Neodiprion lecontei: one gene and its partners. Each later gene encodes a partner of the first gene's protein in a complex. Links are inferred from orthologs where the notes say so. Each region holds a gene or a part of one and is shown on either strand. Other genes may lie near its edges. The genes, in order: CCR4-NOT transcription complex subunit 11, CCR4-NOT transcription complex subunit 10-B and CCR4-NOT transcription complex subunit 9.

Region 1 (7,396 bases):
AACTGATTGCAGCTGATTGAGAGTTTAGAAGATTTCTTCAAATGAAACTGAGTAATTACCCTGGCCAGAGTCTCTCCGTGAACGACAGTGTTACTCGTTAGTAGCAGGGTAACACTTTGAAGAATTTTCACTTCCTCTGTACCAGATTCCATCAGCATCCATAGAGCATCTGTAATGTATCGGGCTCCTTTTGTGTCCACCGCTTGCTGTGTTATGAGCCTTTGCATCATGCCTAAGCAAAACTGAAATAAAAACAGGATAAATTAAAAGTTAACTTCATAATCTATAAGTTGGATAATTGGTTTTCAGTGAATTTTTCAGTACATATTCTTCCATAATTCTACGATTTTGTGCCAAAGTTTATCTAATTTTTGAGATTTCTAGTACACCCATTATTTTTGTTCCTTGTCCGTTGATTCATACTTTAAGTCAACTTGATAAGAATTGATAAAGTAGATAGTCTAAGTCATATTGAACAATATGTTAAAATTAAAAAACCTCTGTTCATGCTGCTGAAACGAAATCACAAAAGACTAATCACAAACTAACAATTTGAATAAACGTTTCAACTTATAAGCTAGCCATTACATTTTTTCCTGTAAGACTAACACCAGCAGTAATGCTTTTTGATACCTTTATAATCTTTACATCTCGACTTTCGCATCCTTGTACCAAAGGATATAATATTTGATTGACAATGTAGTATATCGGTGTTCCAGGACTATTGGCAGCTGTCCGTAACTTAGATATTCCTTCTTCGCAGGACTGTGAAACAAAAGAAATATTTAAAAATTTCACATCAAGGCAGATGGAATTGTACAATCGTCAATTATTCGATAAGGTAGGCAAACAGAAATAATTTCAGAAGCGAGCTTTTCGTGGTTAACAAAGTTTGAAAACAAATTACTGAGACCGTATTAGAACGTTTTGACAGCTGTCAAAATGTTCTGAGTCAAGACTTGTTTGTTCTTCAGCAACAGTAAAGCAAGAAGACATGATGCGCGAACAATAATTGTTGTAAGTTATGTTGAAGTCGCAAACAGGCTATAGGTCATTATCAAAAGAATGCTTATGATCGAGCAGATAATAACATCCTGACCTAACCTAAAATGAGAATAATCAATTAAATGGTGAATAATTGATGGCGTATGGATAAGATACGATACCTCTCTAATCTGTGGATACTTTTTTTTAGTTTCCGATGACAGAACCTTTAAATCAGATTGCAAAGACTCAAGGAATTTGGCAACGTTCTCCTGGCCGCCTCCGACGGCTGTATTTACCATCATCTTGTTGATTACAGTAATTTGTGATAAAATCGAGGTGGAGCCTTCGGTGAGGCGGATATTATTCTTTCATGACAGTTAAACTTCGATGAATTTCACTCGCACTTAACAGTTTCCTTGCAGCGAACGTCAGAAAGCGTAATCACAGATGCCGCATTAACAGATGAGCTGGCATTCTGATCGCTCCGTTTATCAGAAATGACAACCACGAAGTTATTGCTAGTTCGTGATGACAACCAGTCAGCTAACCAACCATCAGCCAACCACCGTTTCGTATAGGCTCGCCCTTTTCGTATCACCCCCACTCTACACCATCTCGGCCGAGTTCGAATAACACCAAGGGTATGTTCCGATATACACTGCGAGCACTGTTCAGTGCTCTTACTGGGGAGAAAATCGTTCCGACAGTATACAGTCGCAGTATCATAGGGAAATATATGACGTCATAAATCGTCGCCATTTTTCTACTGTGAACACTGGTGCTTTCGGGGTAAGGTGCTCTCAGTGCTTTGATCACGTGATCAACAGCGTTCAGAAATTTAACAGCTTCCACTATTGATAATTATTATTATTGAATATTGTCATTTAAAAATATCGGCCGTTAAAAACAAAAATGGAAAATTTGAATAAATTGTTTTTATTGCAATGTGAAACAAATATTATGTATGAAATGAAAGTAACGCCAAAAAATGTCGATCACAGTATACTGTACTGCGTTCCGTTTTAAGCAGTAACCAGTATAGCTAACTATACAGGAACGGCTTCGCAGTATACTAAATTGACGACACACCTTACAGTGCTCGCAGTGTATATCGGAACATACCCCAAGTCCGCAATTTGCGATCTAATCCTAAAATTCTACGAGCGACCTCGAGAAATTTTCAAATTCAGGTGGCAATAAAAAAAAAAAAAAACTACACGAAACCTACTGTACCCATTTTTACCAATTTTACCCGACATCCCGAAGTGATTCTACACTACCATGGCCCCTAATAAAATTCACTCAACTGCAGAGAGGCTGAGTATAATGACCTAAAAATACCTACTTTTGGCGTGACGATTATAATCCAAGTAACTCTACAGACCACGATGATGAAAACAATTATCTTCTATGCTGGCGCACAGGAGTTAAAATTTAATTAAGTAAATGATGAAGTATCGCTTTCGGTTTACCGTCAAAATTGATGAATAATGAATGAATTTTGTTAACTCCGTCTTGATACGAATACTCAAAGTAGCAAAACATTGGCGATTGATCAGTTTTCGAGCTTTTCAAGTATAGTCTACAAAATTTGAAAACACTCTCGATCATTTGAAGTAAAATATGATGGATTTTATGAAATAATAAATGCAAAAACGAAAAATGATCGAAGCCAATATGCAACTTTGCAAAGCTTCTCGATTTATCCGCCAAACATTGGATGACATCACGTGGTACAGGATCCGTAAAATATTGACGCCTCATTTTTCTTCCCAATTACTTTGTCCGTGACAACTTGAAAAAAAATGTTTTGCTGAGAGGTTAAGAAACATTGAAGTGACTTCAAGTAATTGAATAAATATGTAAATATTGTAGATTTAAAGTGCATAATCCTTCTAATATCTAATATGTGTAAAATTCTGGGGCTCACTCATTTCCATCAGTAGGAATCTTCGGCAAAGAAAATTTTTTCCCACCGAAACTGAAGGTTACCGTAATAACAACAACATAGTCATTCAAATTGAATTTGCCTAGAAGTGTGTTTCGAAACCCTTCGAAGCTGTACGAAACCTTTGGCGATAAGTATTGTAATTGATTGGTGGATGAAATCTCGACGCTTTCACCGAATATTGACTCCAAAAAACTCTGTACAAACTCATCGATAAAGTCCGCAATTCGTCATGTCTGCAACACCAAAGCAATTATCAAACCTGCTTGATATTCTGGACGAGGAGAACCTGGATACCAGTTTAGAATCACTATCTAATCAGTTACACCAGGCGTTTGCAAAGGAGGATCTCTTCAAAGTCGGAACAACCCTGTTGCTGCTTCTTCAGCACATCGATCTCCTGCCAAACAATGTTCAGCGAATAATGGCGCTCGCTCTTCTCTACGACCTTTATCGAGGCGAGCAACTGGCGTCTACGCCGTTTGCCACAGTGTTCATCCAGGTATTGAAGCCCTCGGATGAGAGTGCTTCAGGTTCGGTGTCTCGGCCAAACTTCTCTGGACACATCCCGGCGCTCTCCAGATGCGAGAAGAACCTGCTTAGCCACCTACTCGGCTATGGAGCCAAAGAGACGATGAAAAAAACAGCGAGACAAATCATAGAAGAGATGTCTCACTCGGCTACTCCTCTCGTCGATCTCACTAGTCTGCAGCTTCAACTAGCCGAAAGGCTGTCGGAACTACCAAGTGTAAGCAAATGTGGAAATCCAGTAATCCTCCCGGATATGGACCGCTCGAAAGCTGGCGAGATAGACAAGACAGTTGGCAGAGCTATAGCGGAGAGTCTTGTGATCGGCGAGCCACCTCTTTGTAGCCAAAGCTATCGGCCAGAATTCCTGAGGCTCACACCACCGTTGTATCACTCCGCAGATGAACTTGCATGGATGAACGTTGAGGAGCCGAGCCAGTTCACGGTTGAGTACGATTCTTCCATGTGTGTGTCTAATTGTGCAGGGGCCGAGGCACGCAGACTGATGGGCAGAGCGTATAAGAGTGCCTTGACGCTCCAGCAGCAACAGCACTTGCTTATGGAGCTAGACGCTGACCCAAAACTCGTTTACCACATCGGTTTGACCCCCGTAAAGCTTCCGGACTTGGTTGAAAACAATCCGCTAATAGCTATTGAAGTCCTGCTGAAGCTTATGCAGTCCAGCCAAATAACAGAGTACTTCAGCGTGCTGGTTAATATGGAGATGTCCTTGCATTCGATGGAAGTTGTGAATAGATTGACAACCACAGTCGATCTACCAACAGAGTTTGTTCACCTTTACATCAGTAATTGCATATCGACTTGCGAAACCATCAAAGATCGATATATGCAAAATCGTTTAGTCCGTCTGGTTTGCGTGTTCCTTCAGTCTCTAATCAGAAACAAGATAATCAATGTTCAAGAACTTTTCATCGAAGTACAAGCCTTTTGCATCGAATTTAGCAGGATTAGAGAAGCTGCTGCGCTCTTCCGGCTGCTTAAACAACTTGAATCTGGTGATATCGGTGGGCTCAATACCCCGCCGGCTAAGAGTAAGATCGATCCTTGCTGAAAAGAGTTATTGCAAGTAATGGAAAACTTGGATTGTAATAAATAGTTAAGAAATGGATCATCGTGGTATTGCAATTGGAAAGTTGAGATGCTTCAGTTGGTATACTCTTCATGGAAATATTGAACCAAATCTTCTGGGCCGCATGGATTCGAATTTTTTTTTAACATTCAATAATAATAAGTATTGACTGATCAGGAAATATTCTGTTACTCAATCGATTTTTTAGCAGAAGAACTAGGTAATGAGTTTTTTTTTTTTTTTTCAAGTCAACTTTGTTTAAATTTGACAATATTATTATTTTTTTTCTTTTTTTTTTTACAAGTATACGTATAATAAGTTCTGTTTTATACAAATTCATCAAATCAATAATTTTGAACTCTTTGTTCCATAATTAATATTTCTGTAAAACGTTTACTTACGTTAATACACAATCTTAGAATTGGGCAAGGACTTCATTCGAAAGTGTAATATCAATAAAATATATACTTTACAGTTAACTAGTTTCTCCTGGCTGTTATTAACCCGTGCAGATATATTTATATACGTATATGATAGATGAAATATTATGGTTAAACAGTTTTAGGAAATAATTTCCAATGATAAATTGACTCTTTAAATTATCGCACACAACGAATCACCTATAAAGTGATTAGAACAAGTCCTGCAATAAATTTAAAACTTATATAAATCCCGTATTTATTCATAGGTAGAAACGAAAATTTAGTCTACAAAATTCAGTTTTTGCAACAAAGTAATACGTCAATGTTATATTTCAACAATTCAAGAAACCATCATGTGTTAATCACCAATGATAGTCTGAACATATTGCGAATAATGATTTTATCAGTAGTTGATCGACTATTGATTTCTCAAGTGAATTCATAAATAATTGAATATAAATATTCGTGCCGTCAATTTTCTGTATTGTTATATTAAATATATTTATATGACATAGGCATAACTGAAGCCATAAATGTGTCTTTTTACAGGCAATACACATAAAGTACGGATCGTATGGCTACAGAAAATACAGGTCTTGTTTCAAGCTGGTCGATTTTCTAATAAGCTTACGACACTGCTTTATATTTCATATACTTTCTATACCTATACTATACTTTCAACCTATAGTATGATATTTTATGATACATGATTCGAGTCGTCCTCAGACGTGTATCTTTTAAATAAAGATTGTTATTATTATACACAACATTTTTAAAAATTATCTTCCAATTCCAATCATTTATATTAGCTCAGTGTTACTTTAATTACTATTGTTACAATCATTGTCAACGTCATCATCATCATCATAATGATTATTATTATTATTATTGTTATTATTATTATTGTTATTATTATTACTACTACTACTACTATAATATATACACGTAGAATATAATTTGACTTTTAAAGAGAAAATTAGTTGTACTCTAATTCATGTATAGGTATAACATTACATTAAGTGTTACGAGACCGCAAATGGACTTTAAAATTTTTATTAGAAACCAAACTTGGTCAGACTGGATTTGATCCATTTTATTCATGTGACATATCTGTTGTTTTCTATGACCGTAAACGTAAAACCGTTACACCTTTAAATTGTTATGCGAATTTGTACAATATTCTATACTTTATCCTGATGCAATCTCAAGCGGACGCAAAAGCTTGTGTAAATAGATCGTGTGAAAAGAAATCAAAAAGAGAATAATCGTATTCACGTATGAAGAGGAGAATTAAAAAAAGCTGTCGGTGCCATTTATTTATTCCATTTTATTTTTAATATTTTTTTTAATTTAAAAATTTTACTTTTAAATTCCCAATGATAAATAACTATGCAGTAATTTTACAGTTGCAGGCACTTGCACATTTTTTGATTTCTCCTCTTCGTAAGTGCAACTAACAACAATTTCAGAATTTTTCATCGCTCTGGTTAGGTGTAAATCAATCAAATTTCGATTGAACATCTAACACAACAATATCTCACAATCTTCAACTAATTTTCAATCATTCAATCAACGAAAGGTATCAACAAGTACCTTTAATTTATGTACAAAAATCCTTAATCACTATGATGATATCTTGAGAAGTATTTGATCACTTCATCGATTCAATTTATCTCAGATGCAACAATGCGGGTCAGTCGGAATCTCTTAGCCGTTACCTCGCACATTATAAAATTGCGAAAGTACAACTACGGATGAGATTTTAAATCTTATGGTCCCTGATCGCTCAGCAAAGATGCCTCTATCAGGTTAATATAAATGGTTCTACTCGTAAATTTTGAGTTAAAAAAACAGAGAACTAAACATATGGAATTCATAATTTATTGTTAGTCTTTTCAAAAATATCAAATTAAAAAAAAAAAAAAATTAACTCTAATTACAACGCCTACCGATATATGAGGTTAAAGTTAGTACGTTGCCTTGATAAAACGTTAGGAAGAAAAATCATCACTTTGCAATTTTAGAATGATTTTGAAAGAGTTGAGTTTTAAAAATATGAAAACGTTTCTGCCTCGTTACGATTTACTCAATTTCGGACGAAATTAAAGTTGCGAAAAAACTATTCTTCTTAAACATTCATTATAAAATTAACGTTACTGATTTCAACCTCATCACAATATTAGGAAATTATAGGCTGGTGATAGAACAAACTTTTCTGAATAACTAGAGACCAAAGATGCCAAAGTTGTGCAGCTACGATCTATTTCCTAAACGGAACCCAACAATAACGTTCAATCCTTCTGAAATTTAAGCTAACTATGTCTAATATTCAACACCATTATTTTTCTTCTTCGTCTTTGTACTTTTCTACAATGCGGCAATGTCTTTAAGTCGTTTTCCTTTCTTGACTGTTGTTTGCAT
Region 2 (6,417 bases), about 24 Mb from region 1:
AGACCAACTCTAGACTGCTTCTTCCTCTCACCAGCGCGTCCATACACAGAATCTTTCGGCTCTCGACCGTCGCTTCTGCGATCTCCCGATGCACTGATGCCGTTTCTCAAGCCGCAGCTCTGCGTAATACATACACACATACGTCGTATTCAATCATTACGTCTGATCTCTATACTAACTTACCGACCGGGAATAACTCCGAGCTCCTGATTGGCTCTGACTGGCAACTGCATCGCGGGTTTAACGGAAACTGTAACATACGCATGTACCAGGGAGTCTTGTTCATTTGTCATTATTTCGTTTTAAAGCGGGAAGTCGATGCGATGTCCAAAAGGTTTTGAATAAGGAAAAGATATTGTTTTTATAAAGGTTTAGTTTCTTTAAAGTTGGCTATAATAATTCGATAATTGAACTACTATCGTATCTATATCGTAAATATAGAGGTAACACACTTGATTGTAATCAACGTGTATAATTGGAAAATTTGATTGTTAATTTACATGTATAATGTATGCATGTGTGTATATACATAATAGTTAAGCTGTATATTTATTGTATAATATAAATATTACAAAGAACGATTTCGCCCTTGTGCAGGTAATCATCGTTGAATTTGATCGATCCCCGTCAGTCTATTATTCAATTTTACAAATTTATTGATATTGCGGACAATGCTGCTTTATTATTGATTTTGACACGTGCGCATTGCCTGAAAGCAGAAGATATAAAATTATTTCATTAATTTTCATCAGAATCTAACAAAGTAACAAACTTAAACAAAGATGAGCATAGATCGCTTACCTAATTGCAATTCTATGTATAATGCCAACATTATAACATGTATTGGAACGTCGCAATTAGGACCCTTAGAAATCCACACCTGGGATAGAGAAGAATAAATATACATATGCGAATAAATGAAAAAACGGAATACAATTATTACAATTCAGTACATTGATGAGCGGAGACGAATAAAACAACTCTTTGGTAGATTACCTGCTTTAAAGTTTCTCCAGATTTATCTAGTTCGCCTCGAATTGCGTAAGCTACTGCTAAGTTGTACTGAAGAACTGCTTTTCCTGTGGGAAGACTGTTGGGGTACCAACCTACAGAATAGAACAAACGGCATGAAACCGATAACTAAAAAATTTGATCAACATCCTAATCTGTTTGTTCGTTTCATTTCTTTTCTACTTACTTCTCACAGGTGTTACAAATGGTTCTTCGGATTTATCTTTATCCTTATCCAGAGTTTCGGGAATTGGTAGAAATGTATCTATATCTTGAATATTCTCAGGCTTTAGGTACTCAATGGCCTCGTTTATTTTATTCATGAGAATTAAGCTCTCGGCGGCATATAAATTTCCTAGCATTTTATACGCACCGGGCAATTTTGACATGCCGAGTAAAGCCTTTGCATGCTCTAGAGCTACGACGTTGTCACCAAGACACAAGGAGATGTAGGCACTGGCTGCAAGTACGCTTGCCTTTAAATTCAATGCCTCTAGCGCCGTCGCCTGCGACACCTGAGTCGCATGTTGGCCACCTTAAGGAATTTCAATTATAGTAGACTGCGTTATGCGAACTCTAACTTTTACAAATTTTTTTTGTTATGACAAATAAAACGTTTCAATTTTAGGACCTAATAAATTTCTTAATTCACCTAGTACATGAGACGGCTTCAGAGACATTGGAACAGATTGCGGACCAGCCATTGGTGTCGACGGCAAGTTCAACTCATTGTTGTCATTTGGTAGAAGAAATAAGGCATTTTTCAAACACAACATTCCAAATTCTAGAGTAGGTTGAGGTATGGCGCAAGACAATCCTTCTGTGTGGTATTTAGTGTCTTTTGATAAAGCTGATGCCAAAATAATTTTTCTGTATATGCCATTACCGACTACTTTTTGTACGAGATCCTTGCGACGTTTGTGTATATTAAAGTCAATTTCATTCGTCTGAAAAGATTTTGATAAATAAGTCTATAAACACTTACGATTATTAAAACAAATTGTAGACACTCACCGGCTTATGACTATATATACAGCATTCGGCCATTCTCAGCCAGAGACGTGGACTGTTGTGCAGTTTTTGCGCGGATTCTGTGAAACATTCAAATGCCTGCGCTGCACGTCTTGCATGTAGTAGCGATACCCCCAAGCTGTACATTAATTCGTAATGCTTATTACCGCCAAGAGTATAAAGCGGTTGCGACAAAAACGGATCTGCGAATATTTATCAGAGTTTAGTTTTAAGTTGATGCTTTGGAAGACAAAAATTGAATGTTCAAAGTTATGAAAATGTTATTAGATTTTACCAGCATCTTTAACTTGGATGCTTTCAACCGCATTTTTGTTCTCTTGTAACGCTTTTTGTAAATAGTAACAAGCCAAGTTTGGTTTGCCCATCGCATGGTGCAGACAAGCCATATTGTTATAGTATAAAACTGCCGCCGATTCTCCGCTGCTTCTGTAAGCAGTAGATTGACAGTGTAAAATAATGTCAAACAAAAAAATAACTAGGTCTTCGAACAACCGATCAGATTGTCTTACAAGTTCCAGACATAGCCAAGATGGTACAAAAATATAGTTGATACATTGGCAGCTTACTTGTATTCCAGACCATCTGCAGATATGGAATTTAATATTTTGATAGCCTTTCTGTAATTCCCTCTCAGATATTCCAAATTTCCCTTCAGAAGTATAGATGAGACGTTCTAAAAACAACAAATCAAAAGCAAGCCTTGGTGCAAATTTTTCTACGATCAATATCCAGCACATTTTTTATGAAACAGGTGTATGACTTGTGTCAAATTTCACCGCTTTGCATGATACATCATAATTTTTCAAATACTACTTGAAGATTTAAGAAGTATAAGGTTCTTCATCAGGGCACGTTTATATTTCCTGTGAAAAACCTGGTTTCAAGTTTCACTGTTTCAAGATGAAACTTACAACAGGTGTGCCGGAAGCAACAAGAGCCTTCCACTCCTTCTTACACAACTTGAGCTGATGGGTCATGAGGTAGATCCTCGCCTTGTACTTTAACAATTTGATCCTAAATGCATCTGTTGCTGCGTCAACATTATCCGTCTTCTCTTTTTGCTCTTTGATAGGCTTTATAGCGTTCTCCTTGTCTGTCGGTGTGATCTTGGACGTATCCGTAGAGACAAATTGACTTTCAATATAATTTAACAGCGACAATGCTGCATCAGGTTGATTTGTAACGATGTGCAGCTTTATGAGTAACAGACAGACTTTATGCGCCAGACTCTCCTCTAGAATGGGCAAAATTTAACGATGTGAATAACAATGATGCTCAGAACTTTGTAAACACAAAAACTTGTCAAATGAACTGATCGTAATTAAGACAGTGACGAAATCAGCAACTAATTTAATAAAGAACATTAGTGCAAAAAGGAATGTCTGTAAGGAGCCTGCAGAAGGACGAGCTAATTTGTAAATTGCTCACCCATCGGCTCGACGAATGTGAACAGCTTGTTGACTACTTTAAGAGCCAAGTCATACTGTTTGGTGTGAAAAAGAAGAACAGCCTGATTGTATCGCATGACGCATCTTTCGACATCGTCAACAGCTTCAGTTGTGTTGGCGGTACTTATTTGACCACATATAGCATTAAGACTTTTTCTAAACAGCTCAGTCTTTTTCAGATCACTTTTGTAATACTCGGTGACAACTTTGTTGTGCATTACTTTCAGATCTTTTGGTCTCAACGCCTCTAGTTTGTTCAAGTTGCTCAGACATCCTGAATAAGCGCTTTTCTGAAAATCGGTCAAAGCATTCTGAGCCAATTCACGTTCCTGGTCAGTTATCACCGAGGCTGTACTATCGTTATTGTGCGACTCCGAAATCTCTGTCATCGTTAAATTGATTGATATTGAATAAGTGGTAACAAATTCCTGGAATAAAAAGAGTTGATTAGTTAGTGTTCGAATAGATTTGTAAAACTTATCAAACTTTGATAATTCGTATTACACGTAAAATAACACAAGGAAAAGCAAATCAGGGTTTGACAGATGAGATCATTGTTAGGTTAGGTCAGGTTTGAGAGTGACTTTTTAACTAAACTCACTTAATAATCTATATCAATATGAAAAACTTTTAAACAAGGTCACACCTAGTTTAATCACAGATTTTTTCGGGTCAAATTCATGTAGTAATAAATATATCACGTGTTTTTGTTACAAAATCACGGTTAAGAGGTTATGAATACCAATAATTATTTCGTAAAAATCGTCAAACGCAGGTCAGGTGACTTCTGAAACAGTTCTATTGGAAATCCACAAGAGAGCGTTATTAAGTCATTTGGCGTTTGGCAATATCTTCCGGGACGCAAGTCAGTCAACATCTTGCATAATTCACTGCACTTTGTGGCCGTGATCGCATCTCTAACAACTGGTTGTACATAGTAGTGTTTTGTCCATCCTTTCTGTCAGACAAAACAGAATAGGTTATATTTATTAAATATTAAATTAAACAAGTTACGACTAACTACGATGTAGATGTAGTAACTTGAAAAACGCAGAGATCTTACTCACGTCCGCCTCTCATTTTCACCCTAATAAAGCAACGTTTTAGTAGAATTAATGACAATCATCAACTTGAGTAGTCGCATAATTATGTAGTAAGAATGGTGAAAAGTGTAGTTTTTGACATGAATGGATCTATATATCATGAACGTCAGGTAACATAATGAGAAATACACTTCATTTTACACTAATTTTTATCATCCCCACTTCCTGTCACACTGTATACAATATTCTGTTTACAAATGACACAGGTTAAAGAGCTCTGTGCTTTACACGCCTTGAACAATCTATTTCAAGAGCACGGATTTACGAAGCAAGAATTAGATCAAATATGTTATAGTCTGAGCCCCGACGTTTGGATAAATCCGCACAAATCTTTACTGGGACTTGGTAATTATGATATCAACGTTATCATGGCTGCTTTACAAAGAAAAGGTCATGAGGCTGTGTGGTTTGATAAACGCAGGTAATATTTTGCTTTTTCTCAACCTGATGCAATAGTCACTTTTGTTGATTTGAAGGCAATCAATTTTTTCAGAGATCCAAAATGTCTTTGTCTCGATAACATTGAAGGCTTTATATTAAACGTACCCACCGAGTATAAGCTAGGATTTGTTTTGCTACCACTAAAAAGACGGCACTGGGTCGCCTTGCGTAAAATAAGCGGCACTTTTTACAATCTTGATTCCAAACTTGAGACGCCACAACTCATCGGAAAGGTTAATATATACTTTTTTCTCCTAATTCATATTAGTGTTTAAGTTTACTACTCATTTTTTAACACTGCCCTGTACTGCATAGTATCTATACTTTACAGGATAATGAATTGATAGCATACTTAAAGGAGCAGATCGATAGCAAGGAAAAGGAATTGTTTCTTGTCGTGTCTAGAGAAGTGGACAGCAAGCAAGGGTGGCTTATAGACCCATATCTTCAATCAAAGATACAAAATGATACCGATCAAGACTCAATTCAATACATCGAAGACAGTTTGCCTTCAGATATTGATTTGCAGGACAATGCAACTGATAAACGGGACTGCCAAAGTTGATAAAATGTGAGATTTATTGTCACACACTTATCGACTATTGGTTGTTTTTAAATAGTTTTTTTGTCTTTCGATTAACTTTTTTTTCTTACTTCGAGATATACATTTTAGAGGCTCATAGAATGAGTAATTATGTCAGTAGAATAACATTTGTACAGACCACCCAAAGATTCAAATAATGAAACTGATTGAAGAATGTTGTTGTAATGTTTGAGAAAAATGTTGTGTCATAGCAACTGATTCAAGTATTTTCTGATGATAGTGATCACCATGATGTTTTAATGTAAGCTATTGCTGAAATGGGTAAAAAAAAAAGTGGGTGTCATTTCATCAACGGATTCTACTGTCGACCATGAATCAGAAAATAAGAAAAATTAAATTGATTAAAAAAAAAAAAAAAAAAAAAAAACAAAACTAATAAGAAGACATAGTTTTGTGTCATATATTGTGTACATATTGTGCAAGGAATTGTGCGTTACATACGATGAATACGTAAATAATATTGAGCTTTCTCAAAATGTTGTAGAAATTTGTTTTACAATTTTAACTACATACTTTGTTTTGTTATGTTTTGATTTTGCTAGCAAAACATCAACCCATATACAGGGTTACTCAGGACTTTCGTCCCATAGGCTATCAGTGTGTTTCTTGTGAAAATCTCTGACTAAAACATTTCTTACTTTTAATAGGAAATTTCTCGTTTGCGAATCACATCTGTCTGAAATTGGGCGATCGGGTAGCAGTATTCTGAGTGATCAGATACCCCTGGATCGGCAAATTTCGAACAGCTGTGATTCGCAAATGACAAATTTCTTATGAG
Region 3 (6,300 bases), on another chromosome or scaffold:
TTACAGGCCCGAACAAATACAGAGTTGAGGACAAGAATTTGTACACACCCGTTATACATAAACTTTTGACAAGAGGTTCAGGTCCCACGGTAAATAATTATTGTATGCCTAAGAACAAAACCCATCCAAGAAATAATTATTCGTGGAAATGCGTAAACAAGATTTACAGTGTACAAGGATTAAATTTGGTTTTCTCGTTTTACGTTTCAGAATATGACGGAACTCGCAAAAGTGAATCAAGTAGCCGAGACGAGTTGATAATTATGTAATAATTAGTAACACATTCCGATATAAGTAACGAATAATTAAATTGTCGAATAAATTACCGCGTTTTACTATACGATCTAACATGTAAAACGTTTATTTTTTTATAGTCATTTTCATTTTATTATCAATAGTTTTTTGCGATATACTGTAGTATGTAATATATAAATATTATGTACGTATATATAATATATATATATAGACTTTTTCCATATGATAGGAATTTTTGGACAGGATAGGATATGTATGATGATAATATTAGCGAGCCGATATAATTAAGAAAATCGTATAATTAATTGCAGACATATACATATAATATTTGAATCTGAAAATTTTAACCAATCAATCAACTGTATATGCACAAACATAGACATCGATATGTATAATGCACGCCAATCACCAAGAGCAGCATTAATCTTACATCAACTTAATATTATATATATCTCTTACTAGCTGCAGCATGACTTTCTCACGTAATATCTTTATACACAAGTATACATTGCTTTGATAACAATTATTGTTATTATATATAGTTAGACTAGTGATATATATTTATATATAGATTCATTAAAGTCAATAAACCTATTGAATATTATTTCATCTTTGCGTTGTTTTTCCTTTTCTAGGAGAAAATCAGAAGGAAGAACAAGAAAGAAATTGGTTAAAATGTCAATTTTGGCTATCTCGGCGCACCCAAGAGTACACAGAGCATGCAAGGTACATATTTTATGCTTATAATCATACTTACATAATATATATATATATATATACATGTTGAACGAATTTTACAATTTACTATACGTGGAAATTTGCACACACTGTTGTAAACGCTGGCATAGTCCCGTGAATAATTTGTAACTTCCTTTCAATAATTATACCAGCATATTAATATCTGCATTATGGGCGTGCACCGGGTTCTAAAAATAATAACTATCGTAATTATAATGATGCGATGCGATTTAGGAGATTTTTATTATGCATTTGAAAGAACCGCAACTATACAATTAATTACCCCTCCTCATCCGATCTAATTCGCAGTTCTGCAATACTCTTCTTTCAAATAATATAAACACATGAAATTGAGACCATCGCTAATTAATACAAAGTGTTTTACAGCTAAATGAATGAAATTATTGTAATAATAAATTGTGCGCTTAAGTAAGATACACAGGTAATTTTCTTTAAGTAAGATCTTAATGTAATAATGAAGTAACGTGAGCTATAACGATGAAATACTCTTTTTAATCTAAGAGATAACCCTGAGCACTGGCTACTATTCAATATTTTAAAATAAGAATATTTGTAATTTTTGTTATTGTGAACAATTTCGGTAAGTAAATCAAAAGTGTTCAATTCCATTGTATGTTTTTTTGATTATATTTTTTTTTTTATACATGTATAGAGAGACATATAAAATAATATGAATGTAAAGAAACCTCGCAAATAATATCCTCACGGTAGAATTTGTATAACAAGGAAAAATCGCCGCTGCTGCCAATCACAGAACTCAAAACTAGATACGCAAATTTCCCGATGTTAAAAATTATCTTGCGATGCGAAAGCTTACCTCAAACTCAATACAATCAATGAATTCATTGAAATTATTCATAACATGCTGTTTCTCAAGAGCGTGTGAACATAAATTTAATGTACAAATATTTCATGTCTGAACGCATTTATAGCGGAATTGTTTTAAACACGGGCATCCGACAGTGATGTTGGCATACTTCGAAGTGGCTGCACAATTTTTGAAAACTTTAGGAACATGATTAAAAAAAAAGAAAAGAAAAAAAAATTATGACAAAGTAATAAACGACTATATTCAGAATGGTACCAGTCATTATTCAATAATCATACCAGTAATTTCTTCATATTTTTACATTACCGATCACTGTTGCTAGAAAACAATTGTCTTTCTTTTCATTGTTTTTTTCTTTATTTACTTCACTATTGTCTTGTCAAATTTTAATAATCTTGCCAACTAAATCCTTACAACGGAGAATCGATCCATTTTTCTTTTTGGCCAAAATATTTCCCTCACGCGGCAGTGTGAAGTTGTTATTTTCACTAAATAAGAAAAATAAGTTTATAACTTTCTTACCCTATATAGTATCTTCACTGCTTTCTCTTATCAAGTGGCACTTAATTCAACAGTCATTACTAAAATATCATTTCTACCTCACGATAGGAAAATTATTAATCAGTCTATGATGTCAGGGGTGACATGCCGATCGTCCTGGGATCTGGTTGCCCTGGCTGATTTTGAGGCCCTGGCTGAGGTCCAGTTTCCAGGTTCTTAAGTAACTGATTCAGCCAGTGGGTAGTAGATTTGTCTTCTTGTAAGCAGGTCGCAAAAGTATTATCTCTGAGTTGATCTGGTAAGCATTGCCTTAACGCCAGAAGTGCTCTGTAAAAAAATTAACATAAAAACACCTCAGAGCCATAAGAAATTCCAAACCAATCGTAATCCTTCCACATAACAATCTTTCGTCAAACCAGTTTATAATTGAAACAGTTGAAAAACAAAGCAAAGTACTACTTGTCTTTGAATTTAAAACTCTATAACTCGATCTTGAAAATAAGAATCAAGGCTGATAAACTTGCGAATCTATAAATACGAACCTGGGATTGTCCGATAGCCTCAAGTAACACCTAACAACGTGTTTGAGGAGTCTGGCGGAGGGATCTTTGGCCAAGGACAGAACCATTTTTCCCAGGATCATAGCGACGTGGCTGAATCTGTCGTAAGTTTGACATATATACGAAAGTCCGCTATCGTCGAGCAGTATTTTCTGGAGTATAAACGTAGCGACTGTTTTACTCAGTTCAGAACTACTTTCCATGATCCTCAAACAGAGCGGTATTATTTCGGTGGTGAGTAGAAACGTGATTACTTCTTGCTCATCAGTTTTAACCAGCGCTCCGATCACTCCAAGGCTGGTAAGTCTCAGGTACTCAAAGGGTCGCGTCTTGCTCGTGGTATGCAAGAACGGATAAAGGAACAAAGGTACGTGAGCCTAGGAAATGAAAAGAAATAAACCGTTATTAGGACGTTACAGGAATGTTAGCGAACCGAAGACTGGCTTCCGAGCAATTTCTATCACCTGCAGAAAAGCAGATCTCGTCTCAGGGTGACTAGCGACGCATTGAAGGAGAGCGAGAGCATTGCAGACTCTGTTGCTTTGATAGGCAGTAAGCGTAGCTGGGTTGATGGCAGGGTATATGTTGATAATCTCCTGGAGCAGTGCAGCAGTCGTGCCAAACGAGTGCCATAGCATGGGGGCGAGGTCCGGAACAACTTCGCGCTTCTTGCTCAGCTCGAACAAGGCGTTCTCCCGTGTCTCAGGATTAGACAATTCGATAATCCACGTGTATACCTTGTCGGCGTCGACGGTTGCCTGCAGGGCAGCCGGACTCTGCTGAGAACTCATTGCGACGAGATTCGTTCCTGGACTTATTCAGCTTGTAGAAAACACTGAGGAGGTGAAGATCGGAGCTGACCAAAATGGAATCTGGGTTATTTTATCTTCGATACAATCGTGCGATAGAAGAAATGACGAAGGTCTAATTGAGCACGTTTAAAATGAGCAATTCGAGATCAGATGACGCGCCGAATGTTGTCACAACCGTTGTCTGTTTACTTTGAAAGACCACATTTTACGCGGAGATCATCGGTTCATCGAGACATCTCGAACCAAGTGTTATCTTTGATTATACGTTACCGCTGTGGCCTCGGCATATGTCGGTAATACGGCCAGCTTTAAAAGGGACGCTAAGAGTTCGGGGAGCGTTTTTTGAGCGCAGATCAAACCACCTCCGTCGAACAGTAGCGAGGATTCTCGGATATCTGATCCGCGCGTTTCTGCTCTGCCGCGGAGATTTTGAGGTTAGGATTTCCAAACGGACAGCGGGCGGTGAATTACGCGTAAATTCCGGTGTCCATATTTGGCTCACACTGAAGCGATAAGAACTGTTCAGACGTCGCCGAAATACTCGCGTAAAAGGTGGGAAATTGTTCCTCTTCAAATTATATACTTTTAACTCTCAACCCGCACCGAATATACCGTTTATTTACGACGCAATCAACGCAACGCTGTCCAAAAATAACTCTAGTAGCTCGTCGGCACTCGTCGGCAGCGTTACATATGCATCTACGTGCGAGCATGTGTGTGTGCATTGCGTGAAATTAAGTCAGCTTTGGGCCACCAGGTGTTCCGGGCATGCTGGGTTGTCTCCGACGAAGCGCGTTGCGCTTGGTGGTCATTCCTTACATAAGCTACTTACAGAGAAGAGCTTCGTAAAGCCACAATCGCATTTTTCGTTGATCCAATTTATGAGCATCCTCTGACTCAAAATAGGTTTTGACATTTCGTTGTCGACATAACTGCGTTGACGAAAGTATTTGAAGACAACTGTTACCTCTGTGCAGATTTCGTAACAAGTACTCGGATGGTAAGTCAGCGTGGTGAGCCTGCGGCCGTAAGGAGCCCCGTCAGCGATCCGCCAACTTCTTCATCGGCGGGCGCCGTTTGACACGCAACTCCATAAGCGCACTAAACCCCAGTAAGGTATTATGTAACAGGTTTTAATTAACGAACATTGAAACCTTTGAGTAAGTACTGATTCAGCCCGTCAATGGAAATTTTACATACTCGTAGGTGATAGAAAATATCTTGCAGTGAATTTCGAGATTACAAAGTTCGTCAATCGATTGTAATACTGCGGTAATATCATTTGTTAATTAATGTTGGCGACGTTCATCTTCGACCACTACAGTGGCACTTCTCTTTTATAAATATGCTTTGCATTACCCACTGCTTTCATGATGTTATCGACATGCGCTTACCGACCACGGACCTCAAGACTTAATTCCACAAATCTATTTCGTGCCAGATGTCGCTACGAAAACAGAGTAGTGAAAACACCAACGTGGACTCGTTCAGACTCCTCTCTGCCGCTGATTCTGAATCAGGGCTGTTGATTTTCACTTCACTAGCTGATATTTCACCGCACATTTTATACTGCGATATAAAAAATCACTGGGGAACTGCCTCCGTCTCAGGCCTCAAAGTTCTCCCTGATTTCACATCACCCTCGCGTTTAATTCCCTGCTTAGAACTACTAATTGTAGATCAATGCTCTTTTCAATTATGAGGACTAGCTCTCTAAATGTTGTATAGAATCAATCAGGAATTATTTGATTTTCAAATTTTTTAAGATCAAGATTCGATTCGATCAATTTCACTTCACTTCCTCCACTCCTTCGGTTATTTGGAAGTATCCGATGATGATCGGCTACCCTGTGAATTTGAGACGGATCGGTTCGACGGTCTTCGAGATATCCTGGTAGAGAGTTTGAAAAAACCGGTTTCAACAAAAACTGCTCTGAAGCTTTACAAGGAGCGTACGTCGCGGTTCATTGACATGCTAATCGAAAACTAATTACCGCGGCAGGTATTATGCAATTAAGTACACATACAATTTCGGATAAAGTTAAAATTACAGCTGATTTTGTACTTTCGTGAGAAACCCGTTAACGAAAATAAACGAACCGAGCAACAAATTCTACCCGTATTTCCGACCACAGAATCGTAATTGTACGATTATGAATTGTCATATTGTGTAAATTCTTGAATAATCCGCAAAGCCGAGACGGTTATGCATGCAACATCGGAGGCCCGCAAGGCCGCTCAAGGATGCCGTCGAGGGTTCAAGGACGTTCGAAGACTCCTGACGTTATTACACGCATGAATGCGTGAAGGAGCACTGCAGCGGATACCCGAGCAGCGTTATAGAAACGGGGTAAAAATTTTCTCCGGTAGAATGGGAGCAAGAATAAAATAATAGTTAAACCGAACGATCAACTTGTCTTTATTGTGTAATTATCTACAGCCGCATGAGCAAACCCCGCATACGGCATGAAATCGTCGAGTATAACAACCATGATTTCTACACCAAAACTGAAAGTAGGAATATTGAGAATTCGTACGTACGGACTATACGCATCCCCACGTTTCGAATTGTCAATAAATCCGT

What was found.
Region 2: CCR4-NOT transcription complex subunit 11 (region 1) and CCR4-NOT transcription complex subunit 10-B share a complex: the UniProt entries of both Homo sapiens proteins name them as parts of the CCR4-NOT complex. The link is inferred for Neodiprion lecontei from reciprocal best matches to the Homo sapiens genes CNOT11 and CNOT10.
Region 3: CCR4-NOT transcription complex subunit 11 (region 1) and CCR4-NOT transcription complex subunit 9 share a complex: the UniProt entries of both Homo sapiens proteins name them as parts of the CCR4-NOT complex. The link is inferred for Neodiprion lecontei from reciprocal best matches to the Homo sapiens genes CNOT11 and CNOT9.

What each region holds. Positions count from the first base shown.
Region 1 is NC_060264.1:28,417,634-28,425,029, reverse strand, and holds CCR4-NOT transcription complex subunit 11, read left to right. Parts: upstream 1-1,784; 5' UTR 1,785-3,167; coding exon 3,168-4,535; 3' UTR 4,536-6,885; downstream 6,886-7,396. Other genes in the region: protein MON2 homolog, read right to left, coding at 60-242, 634-765, 1,167-1,289. UniProt on the Homo sapiens protein: Component of the CCR4-NOT complex which is one of the major cellular mRNA deadenylases and is linked to various cellular processes including bulk mRNA degradation, miRNA-mediated repression, translational repression during translational initiation and general transcription regulation.
Region 2 is NC_060264.1:4,199,451-4,205,867, reverse strand, and holds CCR4-NOT transcription complex subunit 10-B, read right to left. Parts: upstream 4,374-6,417; 5' UTR 4,234-4,373; exon of another isoform or gene 4,093-4,233; intron 3,920-4,092; 5' UTR 3,881-3,919; coding exon 3,472-3,880; intron 3,278-3,471; coding exon 2,955-3,277; intron 2,717-2,954; coding exon 2,610-2,716; intron 2,470-2,609; coding exon 2,318-2,469; intron 2,226-2,317; coding exon 2,026-2,225; intron 1,959-2,025; coding exon 1,664-1,958; intron 1,547-1,663; coding exon 1,199-1,546; intron 1,107-1,198; coding exon 997-1,106; intron 881-996; coding exon 802-880; intron 710-801; coding exon 654-709; 3' UTR 531-653; downstream 1-530. Other genes in the region: josephin-2, read left to right, coding at 4,651-4,704, 4,801-5,015, 5,088-5,268, 5,367-5,600. UniProt on the Homo sapiens protein: Component of the CCR4-NOT complex which is one of the major cellular mRNA deadenylases and is linked to various cellular processes including bulk mRNA degradation, miRNA-mediated repression, translational repression during translational initiation and general transcription regulation.
Region 3 is NC_060263.1:38,618,732-38,625,031, reverse strand, and holds CCR4-NOT transcription complex subunit 9, read right to left. Parts: upstream 4,568-6,300; 5' UTR 4,549-4,567; intron 4,462-4,548; exon of another isoform or gene 3,761-4,461; 5' UTR 3,696-3,760; coding exon 3,369-3,695; intron 3,282-3,368; coding exon 2,887-3,281; intron 2,674-2,886; exon of another isoform or gene 2,672-2,673; coding exon 2,470-2,671; 3' UTR 537-2,469; downstream 1-536. Other genes in the region: sodium-coupled monocarboxylate transporter 1, read left to right, coding at 1-89, 211-258. UniProt on the Homo sapiens protein: Component of the CCR4-NOT complex which is one of the major cellular mRNA deadenylases and is linked to various cellular processes including bulk mRNA degradation, miRNA-mediated repression, translational repression during translational initiation and general transcription regulation.